3 linked regions of the Cricetulus griseus genome follow. The protein of the gene in region 2 interacts with the protein of the main gene of each other region in a pairwise test. Links are inferred from orthologs where the notes say so. Each region holds a gene or a part of one and is shown on either strand. Other genes may lie near its edges.

Region 1 (3,748 bases), on a different chromosome or scaffold from region 2:
TACTTAGTGTACCAGGCTAGCTAACTTGGTTCAGGACCCTGGCCACGGCATGAAGTACTCACTCATGTGTCTTCCCTGCATCCTTCTCTTCCTCCTGGGCTAAGCTTCAGCTAAATGACCTAGCATCAGCCTATTAGCATCAGCAGTGTCCTACACAGAGGTCACAAATCCTGGAGACATACACCCAGGACACCAGCTCTATCTTTAGTTTGGGTGGACACCTGCCCAAACTCCTTCGCTGGCTCAAACTACCCTCTTCCTAAAACTGGTCTGCACAGGCCTAGTGTGGAGGCTGTGCTGGTTTCTGGGGGACAGATTATGTTCGTCCATTACCATCAGGGGTACAAGGCTGGACATGGTTATGAACCCAGTCCCTCTGGGTAGGTTCACTGGTAGCAAATGCAAGGGATCATGGCAAATCTTTACAGCAGTCCCCACTGGAGTGGGGAGAGCAAGATAAGCCAGGTGTAGGATGGAGTCCTGAAGTTAGTTGCCAAGGACTGTTTGGACACATCTTGAATAGGGAGCAGAAAAATCCACAAAATTTAAGAAATATCCCAAACCTTTATTTTTCACCCCAAGAAACGGGGGCATAAGGTCCCACAATTCCCACAGTCCTAGTCAGAGTTGCTTCCCAGACACCCCTTCTACAAATAGCCCACAGCTTCCCACCTGGACTGGGCAGGTGAGGAGGTGGAGAGATAGCACTGCAGTCAAACTGAGGGTCCCCTCTCAGACCCTGGCCCCTCCGGGTTACTGTCCCTGTTCCGGAAGTGTTCTCTGCTCCGCTTCTTGCTGCCATGGAAACCAACAGCCTCCATCCCTGTGGGATCTGATGAGGACCCAGGATGGTCAGCTCCTGAAGGTATCACTGCCTCTTGCAGTCCCTGGTGGCCACTCCACTCCTCAAGCTCAGGCCCTGCCAGATGGGCCAGCTCCACAGATGCCTCACTCACAGCATTTGACACATCCCCCTTCTTTAGGACCCTCTTCCTTTCAGCCCTAGTCTCACTGCCTCGAATTGGTTTGGTAAAGACCACTCTCCCCTCCCCACAGCTAGAGGGGTCCTGGTTGAAGGAAGGTACATAGTCTGTGGGGGATGCCAGGCTGCGAGAACCCAGAAAGGCCAGGGCAGCAGCACGATTGCTCTGCTCACTGACTTCAGTCGCATCTTCCAGGCTGTACTTGGTCCAACGCTCAGGATGTGACACATAATCGGGCACAGGAGGTACCCTGGTTGGGCCCGTACTCCCATGCACCCTGCTCAGGTTCCCTGCTGGAGTCTGACTTGGGGGAGCCACAGGTCGCTTGAAGTTGCCATTTTCAGTCACACTGGTTTGGGGCGCAGAGGGCGGTGCCTGCCGGACTGCACTCTCCAGACAATCAAAGATGCTGTGACTGCGCTGGGAGAAGGTGGAGCTCATGCCGCGGAGGTGGAACGGCTGAACTGCGGTGGTGGGGACGCCCGTGGGGGGCGAGGGAGGCTCATCAGGGCCGGAGTCTTCTTGGGCTTCCCCAGAAATCCTCTCCGGGGACAACACTTGCACCTCAGCACCACTAGGTAAGCTGAGGTCCGAGTCCGAGTCGCTGAGGGAGACGGTGTCAGAAGGCAGGGTGTCATCTTCGGTGGGTTCCTCGGCCTCCAAGCCAGTCTCCGCCTCCGCCATGGAACCCGACCTGTAGCGAAGCAGCCCAGGTTCTGCTGTGAGGGGTGTACTTGGGCAGCTCCCCCCCACCCCCGTTCTCCCAGGCTCCCCCACTTTCACCTCCACTATGTGCCAGGCGCCTCTGCTCGCAATCGGGCGCTGGCTGGTCACGCAGGCGGGCGGAGGCCTCGCGAAGCTGGGTGGCGAATAGTGTGTCCTCGCACGCACTGATGTGGAGCTGCAGTCTAGATAGGGTTAAGCAGAGAGTCAAACCATGAGATCAGAACAGTGCGGACATATAAAGGGTGCGCGCTAGGAGACGCTGGAGACAGAGGCTCTCGACCATCAGCTCGTCTCATCACCGGCTCTCACAGAGCGCAGCCTCTCCGGGTACACACCGCCACCGGAGGCACCACCCGGCTCCGGAGGGAGAGCTGGCAGGGGACTGGCCTGGTCGCACGGTCCTAAGGAGGCCAGCGCTCACCGCTCCACCGTCCCTTCACGCTACAACAGCCAGCTGCCTTTACCGTAGCGTCCCGCCGGTTTCTCGAGGTACGGGCCGTGGCCCCCGCCTACTCTCGCTCGGCTTTCTGGGAAACCGAGTCTCCGGCTGTCTGAATGCTGCAACTTTAGCGGCCAAGGAACTACAACTCCCAGAAGGCAATGGGCCAATGCGTAATGCCTGCCGGGAGGTGTAACCTTTACGTATACGTCATCCCGTAAGACTGGAGCGGACACGGAAATCTACCCGGAAATGACGAAAGAGGAAGAGGCGGAGCCAAGAGCCTCGATTCCCATTGTACATAGGGCCAACTGCTAATCGCAAAGGGTTGAGGCCTCCAGCGCCGCCTGTCGGAAGCCGTCTGAGCAGGGTTCGTCACTGGAAGGAAGTGCGTCACCACGCAGTGCGGGCGTCAACAAGTTTCCTGGTCAGAAGTGGTGCTGATCTGATCTTGTACTCGGTTGGCTTCCTAAAGGGGGCGGGGACTTAAGTCCTAGTTGGCTCTTGGCATCTAGAGACGTGGTGGGCTCTGGATGTTGGATAAGTTGTTTGGGGCTGCAGAGATTCGAGGCCTCTCCTCTAGGCTCTGCCTAGCCGTGCTTGGACACCGACCCCACTATTTAAGGCCACACACAACTCCCCTCTAGGCCCGGGGCTGTCCTCTTTCATCTCTGGGAACCAGAGTCTGAGAATCCACTGGGCTGCTGCACGCTCACTTCCTTCCCTATGTTCTTGAAGCCCTGATAGCCATGCTGCAGTTTTCTCAACAGCCTTGGCCAGGGGCCCACAACATAAGAGTATAAAGTCCTTCAGACCAGCAGCCAACCCAAGCAGGGAACAGGTTGCAAGGGGCGGGAGGGGGGCGGCGGACGGACGATAGTAGAGATTAGGACGCCCTAGGACAAACTTGGGGTTCACTGACAAATCAGCTTACAGGGAGGTTGCTAGGAGCTGAGACCTAAATCTTAGCCACGCTTTCTCTCCTCTAGAGGCCAATTAAATATGCCAGTAGCCTGGGGGAGGGGTGCAGACAGGAGTCAAAGGGAAAGGCAGTAGTGGTGATAGTTGCTGGTGTCCCAAGAGGTTGCTTAGCCTAATCCTCAGTTCATAGGGCTGAGCTGAGTGGGCTGCCATCTTGACTATTATCCCTTGAGACAGGCCAGAGCCACCCAGCTCTTTAGAACATTTCTAAGCACCTAGATACTTGGGATGGGGCAGTAGTCTAACTTTTACTGTATTGTCTTTCAAAAGTGGGATGAAGTGGGAGTTTTTTGTAGCTTATCCCCAGCATTCTGTGTCGAATTTTCCTGCTGCGTGACCTCTCCTACCCGTCTCAGTGTGACTTGGCATGTCCAACAGATGAGTGGAAATGAGGTCAAGGCTGGAATAAGGTCAGCCTGAACTCCCAGTACAGGGAGGTAGAAACGAGGGAGTACTCAGATGGAGTGCTCCCAGGGTCCCTATCCTTCCCACCCATTTTATTCCACAGCCTCTCTTGGACCTGCTCACCCTGTGCCTGGCAAAGTCCAGAGCGGTACCCGTCTCTGACACCACTGGAACAGGAAGAGGTCTGACAGTCCGGTTAGCATGCCTGATTTTC
Region 2 (3,648 bases):
CAAAGTGACTGAGACATGGCTTGCTTTAGAAGCATCAAAACGAAGAGGCAAGAGAGCTGGGAGCCTTCTGTTGCTTGCTGTCTTATCGCTTGGTGGCCATCTGGTGGTGTTTGTATTGAATAAAAGGTGCTGCACTTAATAGACCTTAGAAATTAAATTCTTTTGTTTGAAGGTTGGCTGTTGGGTCAAAGTTGTAAGTACCTCCTTGTGTTGCTTCAGGAATGAGGCTAGGATCTTCATCAATCTATAAAAATAAAGGGGAAACTCCAAATGAATATTTTAACTGCCTAAAAACACCCAGATAAATGAGTGATAATTTTATTGAGAAATTAAACAAATACAATTCAATATGCATTTTTAAAAAGTGCCTGGCTTAAGTTCCTATATCTGCAGATATACTTCATCTATCTGAATGTCATTTCCAGAATTATTTCTTTCCAGAAAATAGATTAAAACTGTAACAAGAAATGCTTTTATAATTTTACCTTATAGTGAAATTTTGGATAAAGTATGTAAGAAAAGTGATTAATGGAGTATCTAACAGAAAACATTACAAATTTCACGCACACTAACAATAAGAGAAAAATTCTAAGTAAATGGCCATTATATCAATCTACACGCAGACATCTGTACTTTAGTATTTACTTACATCATCACCAGAGAAATATTGATCTATGATTTCAAATGCTAATTTATATATGTCTTCATTTTCATGTTGCTGCAAAACTTCAATTTTCTCCAAACCTGACAAAGAATATAAAAATAATTAAGGTAATCACGAATCTGCACAATCTAATTATAGAAAAACCCTATGAACCTCAGAATATGCCTTGTCTCCACTTAAAGATGACAGTCTATAGGCTAGAGAGATGGCTCAGCAGTTAAGAGGACTTGGGTTCAATTCCCATCAACCACATGGTGGTTCACAACCATCTATAGTGGAATCTGATGCCCTCTTCTGGAATAAATGTGTGCATGCTGATACAAATAAATAAATAAATCTTAAAAAAAAAAAAAGATGACAGTCTAAAGTAACACATAAAAACCAAACCACCATCCCATTATTTCCTTTTTCCTTAAAAACATTTGAGATTCCCTGATCTCTGGAGAAACAGAAAAAAACCACCAAAACCATCCAGTAGAGATGTAATAGAGTTTGTTTCTGGTCAAAGAGCAACAAGTTAATGCCAGTACAAGGTCTGAAAACCTCCCAAAAAGTTTCAATATAATCACACTATCTCATATAGTATCTTTTCCTCTTCCCCTGTTTTCTGAATGTAAGTTTTGAGAACTTAATTGATAGAAGCTTTACATCAAAAACACTGCATTTAAAAAAGTAAACAGGAGTAGTGACGGCGTACACCTTTAATCCCAGGACCAGGGAGACAGAGATAGCCAAGATCTTTGTGAGTTTGAGGCCAGCCTGGCTACAGAGTGAGTTCGAGAACAGCCAGAACTATATGAGAAATTCTGTCTCAAAACAAAACAAACGAATAAACAAAAGTGAAGGTTATGACCTACAGGTATAGGGAGCAGGAAAAGGAAGTTCCCGTAACACTCATGACTGATCTCCTTTTCAGGTTATGTAAGACAAGACTGTAGTCCAGTCTGGACTTGAACCTCAGATCCTCTGATTCTATCAAGTGCGACATATAGTCTTGCACACCTGTGCTCACCTGAGAATATCTTTTATATTTCCAATGTACCATGAACTTCATGTACCATATGTACAAGTTTATAAATTTAAAACCTTACTATTTATCCTGGAGGTATCTTTTTCAACATATTGAAATAGCAGACTTTTAAAACATAATATACAAATCAAAAAAAAATGGAGAAATGGGAATCAACACTAACAAATAAAAAATGCTTTATGAGATTATAGTATATATTGTGATTATTACTCCAATAGGGAAAAATACAGCTTAACATTAAAGAGAAAGAATTCTCTAAGTTATTCAAATTTTCTGTAAATTTGATTATAAAGCTAATTTTTATCTTAAAAATGGGACATCTTGCTAGGCATCCCAGCACTCGGGAGGCAGAGGCAGGCAGATCTCTGTGAGTTCGAGGCCAGCCTGGTCTTCAGAGCGAGTGCCAGGATAGGCTCCAAAGCTACACAGAGAAACCCTGTCTCGAAAAAAAACAAAACAAAACAAAACAAAACAAAAAAGCTCAGCGATTAAGATACATAATATGGCAAAAAACAAAAACAAAAATAGGACATCTTAACACAAGAATGAGCACAAATAGTACGATAAGCTCCATGTGAGTTTTGCTTATATAAATGCTATTTATATGATCTTGGGCAAAATTTCCATTAACCTTTTTGTTTTTACTGATCTGTGGTGCTACTGCATTTATGTTCTCTAAAGCATAACCTGGATAAACTATCCATATAGTCAACAAAAATGCAATCAAACAAATCACTAAACTTTTTAGTACATATGGTACCTTTTAAGAACAGAGTTTTTAAGTACAAGTTTCATCATGTCCTTACTAGAAATGACAATACTTAATGACTTCAGTCCTATTATCTCAACACACTTTTGTATTGAACCCAAAAGCCTCTCCAACTTACAGAATTTAAACAAGACACACAATTGAGCAACCACTTCTCAAAGAAGGGTCCACCCAGACACATGGTAATATGTACAACATAAAAAAATGTGTTGGCTTTGTCTAGAGTTGAGAAATGGATTAAACAAAGCTTTTATCTACTCTAGTAGTCCACTGGACTTTTTAACATGCTCCTGTACACTGTGCAGTACTTTGGTCCTCACTATTGATTTGTTGGGAAGGCTTTGAAAACCATTAAGAAATGGGGCCTACTGAAGAAGGTTCAATGCTGGGGGTCTGGTACTTAGAAAAATTAGCAAAACTTTTGCAGAACCATCTTTAGTTTCATTTTACAATAGTAAGCTATTACAAAACACTGAATCTGTCCCTGGGTCTCTCCTTTATTCTCTCCCATGTGTTCTGTCCTGTTGCCCCAGTCAGGAAGACTTCACTAGAGGCATGCATACCCATAAATTATACACAAACTGGGACAACCATTCTGTCTTACACTTTCACTTTCTAAAATTCTGACCTATATAAACCTTTTTATAAGCACTCAGCCTCAGATATTTTTGATATGGCAATGGAAAACAAATCAGTGTAATACTGAGTACTTTCTAAAATTCATCAATCTCCAGGAAAATTGACTCCATACTGGTCATATTTCTTTTTTAAAAAAATATTTTATTTATTTATTATGTATACAACATTCTGCTTCCATGTATATCTGCACACCAAAAGAGGGCACCAGATCTCATAAGGGGTGGTTGTGAGCCACCATGTGGTTGCTGGGAACTGAACTCAGGACCTCTGGAAGAGCAGTTGGTGATGCTCTTAACCTCTGAGCTATCTCTCCAGCCCCATGACCAGTATTTCTAAAGTACGAACTACTGTATTTTTTGTGAAAATCCTTTAGTAATGCTAATAAGGTAAGACCAGCAAAATCCTCTGAACACTTAATAACAACTGTCTAATAAACTAAGCTTAAAGGAACTAGTACTGTAGAACTCCACTTACCTCCACATTCTTCTATGATTTCTGCTATTGTGCTTGCTTCGTCCCCAGCCATTATCAGGATGTTCTTTAAAC
Region 3 (3,748 bases), about 9.2 Mb from region 2:
CAAGGAACCCCCCCCCAAAAAAAACAAAATCTAGGTAACAATTATGACTCAATTAGAAACTGGTAGTAAAGAGCACAGCAATCTGTTCAAATTAGAATACTTTAAACAGAAAATCAGCTTTTGTCTTTTGAGAACTGTAAAGACTTAACCAGGAGCCTATACCCACTGTAGTTTTTCAAAATCTTTACTGAAACACCTGTGGTTTTACTACACCTGAACGTTGTTTTTTAATCAGCCAATTCTCCAGTAAATCTAGTTTCAAAACCATAAATCTTCCGATGAGTTGAGTGTATGAAGCTTTAGCAAATAATGAGACGAACAAACACTTAGGTTTCTCTATGTAGCTTTGTACACCAGAGATCCACCTGCCTCTGCCTCCCATTCAGAAATCCACATTTCTAACACTTTTGAAGGACTAAAAATAGAGGAAACAAGGTCTCACCAGGCCTGAGAATTCTTTGTAGACCAGACTGGCCTCAAAATCATAAGCTATCAGCGAGTTCCGCTGGACTGAAGTTGTGCCCCACCATACCTGGCCTGTATGTCTAACATTTAATGGCAGGTGTTTTTAACCAATCTCAACTACTGCCAGTAGTCTTCTTGCATACTAATTTCCGACACTTATTTACAACACTATTTTTGATGGATGCCTTCCTAGCTATTTCTCTTACCCATTTCTCACTTCACCAGAGCAAAATCTTACTCTTAAATTCTACTTCTAAGGCACACCTTAAAATGATGAGGCTTGGCAGGCAGTGATGGTCACATTTAATCCTAGCACTTGAAGAGGCAGAGGCAGGCAGATTTGGTCTACAAAGCAAGTTCCAGGACAGCCAGAAGTCATACAAAGAAACCCTACCTTGAAAAAACAAACAAATGGCTCGGAGGCGGGGCAGGCCTTTGATCCCAGGATCAGGAGGATACAGAGGCAGGCGGCTCTACCAGACCAGCCTGGTCTAAAGAGGGAATTCCAGGACAGGCTCAAAAGCTAAAGGGAGAAAATAGGTCCCCAAAAAATAAAAATTAAAACAAAAAATTAACTCCCAGATAAACTGACACCCTACACTATTAGTGCTGGGGATTAAATTAAGGGCACCTTGCATCCTAAGCACTACCACTGGGCTACATTAGCAACAGCTGTAACAAATGGCTGGGAGTTAATAGTTTGGGGGGGGGGTTCGAGACAGGGTTTCTCTGTGTAGCTTTGGAGCCTATCCTAGAACTCAGAGATCCGCCTGCCTCTGCCTCCCGAGTGCTGGGATTGAAGGCGTGCGCCACCAACGCCCGGCCCAGAGGGTTGCTTTTTTAAAAACTGCTTTGGAGCTCTCCTCTGTTTTAAAAACAAACAGCCAAAAACAAACAAACAAAAAAAAAAACCAAGATTTTACTGTGTAGTTCTGGGCTGGCTTGCAATGGATACTGATCCTCCTCCTGTCTCATGGCCTCTGGAATGCAAGAATTACAGGCATGCAATACCACACCTGGCTGGAAACTCCTTATTACCAAGTTTAGAACTGATAGGATATTGGAATATCCGGAAAAGACTATTTTGGTTTTGCTCCGGTTACCTTTAATTTCGCTATCAGCTTCCCCTAAAAACTCGATTGTCTTTTTCGTACACAGTATTCCAGTATTCTTTACCTACCTAAAAATATCTTAGTCGCTCTAATTTAGTAAATACTGTCAACCAATTTACCTATCGTTTCTCTCTCAAGACAGCAGTACCTACCTCAAGCAAAGTCCCACTAACATATATTTCAAGTAATTCGTAATCTGCAGATTAAAAGGTAAGTTGCAATTTTATTGCAATTTTAATTAACCCGTGACACTTCCCTTTTACAGAAAACACTCCGCCTTCTACCATTTATTCCTACGGGAGAAAAAGTAATGAATACTCGATCTATTGTTAACACGCCGCTCGGATGCCATGTGGCCCGCCCGGAATTTGGAAGCTTCCAGTACATCATCAGCGTAACGCTCCGCCACCCCCGCCCGACGTTGAACTTAGAAGACTTAATAACGGAATCGTTAAGACATTAAACCTCAATTAGGGTAACAAGCTTGCATTTCTTCCTTTTCACGCTCCCCTCTCCGAGTCCTGGCGGTCGAAGGCAGGCAAAGTGGCCGTTAGACACGAGCGCGCCGGCAGGGTATCCTCCGCGCCGCCCGCGGCCTGGAGGTCACCAGGCTGAACCTGCGCCAGAGCCGAGGCCTGGCGCCGCCCGACTTAGACCCGGTCCCCGGGCCACGGGAACCAACGCGGGCGCCGTTCCTGCCGCCAGGCCGTTCGCTCCCACACCCGCTCGCAGCGCCCACGAACCCGCGCCTCCCCTGCACTCGGCCCCTCCGCTTACCAAGAGTTCGGAGAGAGAGAGAGAAGACACTGCCTCTCCTACTGCGGCTCCGTGCGGAGACTCCGAAGCGACTGCAGGCAGGCAGCACACGACCGTTCGCTCTCCGGCGCTCCACAAAATGGCCCCCGAGCTCCTCTGCCGCCGAGGCGAAGGTCCAGCCCCGCCCCGCTCCTGGGGGCGTTCCTATTGGCTGAGCCTTTTCTCGCTCCCGCTCCTCATTAGATGGCGCTACCGCTCCTCACAGTGCTAGCCAATCGCGATCGGGAGTAGGTTGGTCTAGTTGCGAGAATTTCCACCTGCGTCACCGAAGCTCGTTAGTAATTGGTGGAGCTTCCTGTCACTTAGGGTATGAAGGATGGTCATTGGCCACTGTACCAGACGGAAAACTGGGTGGAATGTTCGCCTTTGTATCGCGCACAGCTTCTCATCCGGGTACCGGCGGGCCTGACTGACGCCGCGTCGGCCTATCGGCGCTTAGTGGACTGCCTAGATCCGCCCTGATCACTGCATTTCCGCGGCGCGGGGGTGGTAAAGTCTGGGTGGAGTCTGGTAGCGGGTGCAAAGGGCCTGCCCTCGCCCCGGGCCTAGGAAAAGGAAAACCAAAGTAAGCCTGAGCGTGGGGAAGAGAGTAATCCCTAGACCGCCTGGAGTGTAGATAAGACAGACCTGCAGTTTTTTTCAATTTCAGATCCTTCTCATTTCCACATTGTGTGAGCTGCCGGGAGGAGGTGGCCTCTCAGCCCACGAGGCTAGACAGCTCCTTCCAAACCTAGTCCTCTCCTGTTACCTGGACCCCTCCAAGTCGGTTGCAAAATCTGCAAACCGAATGGCCGGCCACCTCAATTTCCGATTTCCTGCAATAGTCTGACGGCCACTCAATCCCCTCAGGCCTGGCCTGCCAGTGAATTTCTGGTTATTCTGGAGGAACCTTGAGCACACCAAAATGTATACAGCCCCCTTAGAAAGGGAGATATTACCCCAAGGAGATACACTAGATCTAGGAAAGTCTGATTTAAATTTGGGGAAGGGGGATGTTGATTTTTGGGAGTGTTGATTTGGGGCTTTTTTTTTTTTTTTTTTTTTGGCCAGGTAGTGATGACGGTGCACGCCTTTAATCCCACCACTCAGGAGGCAGAGGCATGTGGATCTCTGAGTTTGACACCCACCTGGACTTCAGAGGGAGTTTCAGATCATCGGAGCTAGGTAGAAAAACCCTGTCTCAAAAACAAAACAAAATAATAATAATAATAATAAAAGAAAAAATTAAACGTTTTATTTATTCTATGTGTGTGTGTAAGCATTACGAGGGATCCGACAGGTAGGGATTCTGGCGTTCTGGCAATCTGGAGCCAAGGAATATGACAGGTCACAGTAATCATAGCAATTTACAGCCC

The links.
Region 1: the proteins of Kpna3 (region 2) and Tssc4 interact in binary tests that used the Homo sapiens proteins (3 or more experiments, as listed by UniProt). The two-hybrid records come from large-scale screens. The link is inferred for Cricetulus griseus from reciprocal best matches to the Homo sapiens genes KPNA3 and TSSC4.
Region 3: the proteins of Kpna3 (region 2) and Hnrnpc interact in binary tests that used the Homo sapiens proteins (3 or more experiments, as listed by UniProt). The link is inferred for Cricetulus griseus from reciprocal best matches to the Homo sapiens genes KPNA3 and HNRNPC.

Annotation. Positions count from the first base shown.
Region 1 is NC_048596.1:58,316,342-58,320,089, forward strand, and holds Tssc4 (protein TSSC4), read right to left. Parts: upstream 2,319-3,748; 5' UTR 2,174-2,318; exon of another isoform or gene 2,045-2,173; intron 1,892-2,044; 5' UTR 1,767-1,891; intron 1,678-1,766; 5' UTR 1,668-1,677; coding exon 714-1,667; 3' UTR 545-713; downstream 1-544. UniProt on the Homo sapiens protein: Protein associated with the U5 snRNP, during its maturation and its post-splicing recycling and which is required for spliceosomal tri-snRNP complex assembly in the nucleus.
Region 2 is NW_023276807.1:216,375,400-216,379,047, forward strand, and holds part of Kpna3 (importin subunit alpha-4), read right to left. Parts: coding exon 3,577-3,648; intron 745-3,576; coding exon 650-744; intron 245-649; coding exon 146-244; 3' UTR 1-145. UniProt on the Homo sapiens protein: Functions in nuclear protein import as an adapter protein for nuclear receptor KPNB1. Binds specifically and directly to substrates containing either a simple or bipartite NLS motif.
Region 3 is NW_023276807.1:207,170,693-207,174,440, forward strand, and holds the start of Hnrnpc (heterogeneous nuclear ribonucleoproteins C1/C2), read right to left. Parts: upstream 2,511-3,748; 5' UTR 2,355-2,510; intron 1-2,354. UniProt on the Homo sapiens protein: Binds pre-mRNA and nucleates the assembly of 40S hnRNP particles. Interacts with poly-U tracts in the 3'-UTR or 5'-UTR of mRNA and modulates the stability and the level of translation of bound mRNA molecules. Single HNRNPC tetramers bind 230-240 nucleotides.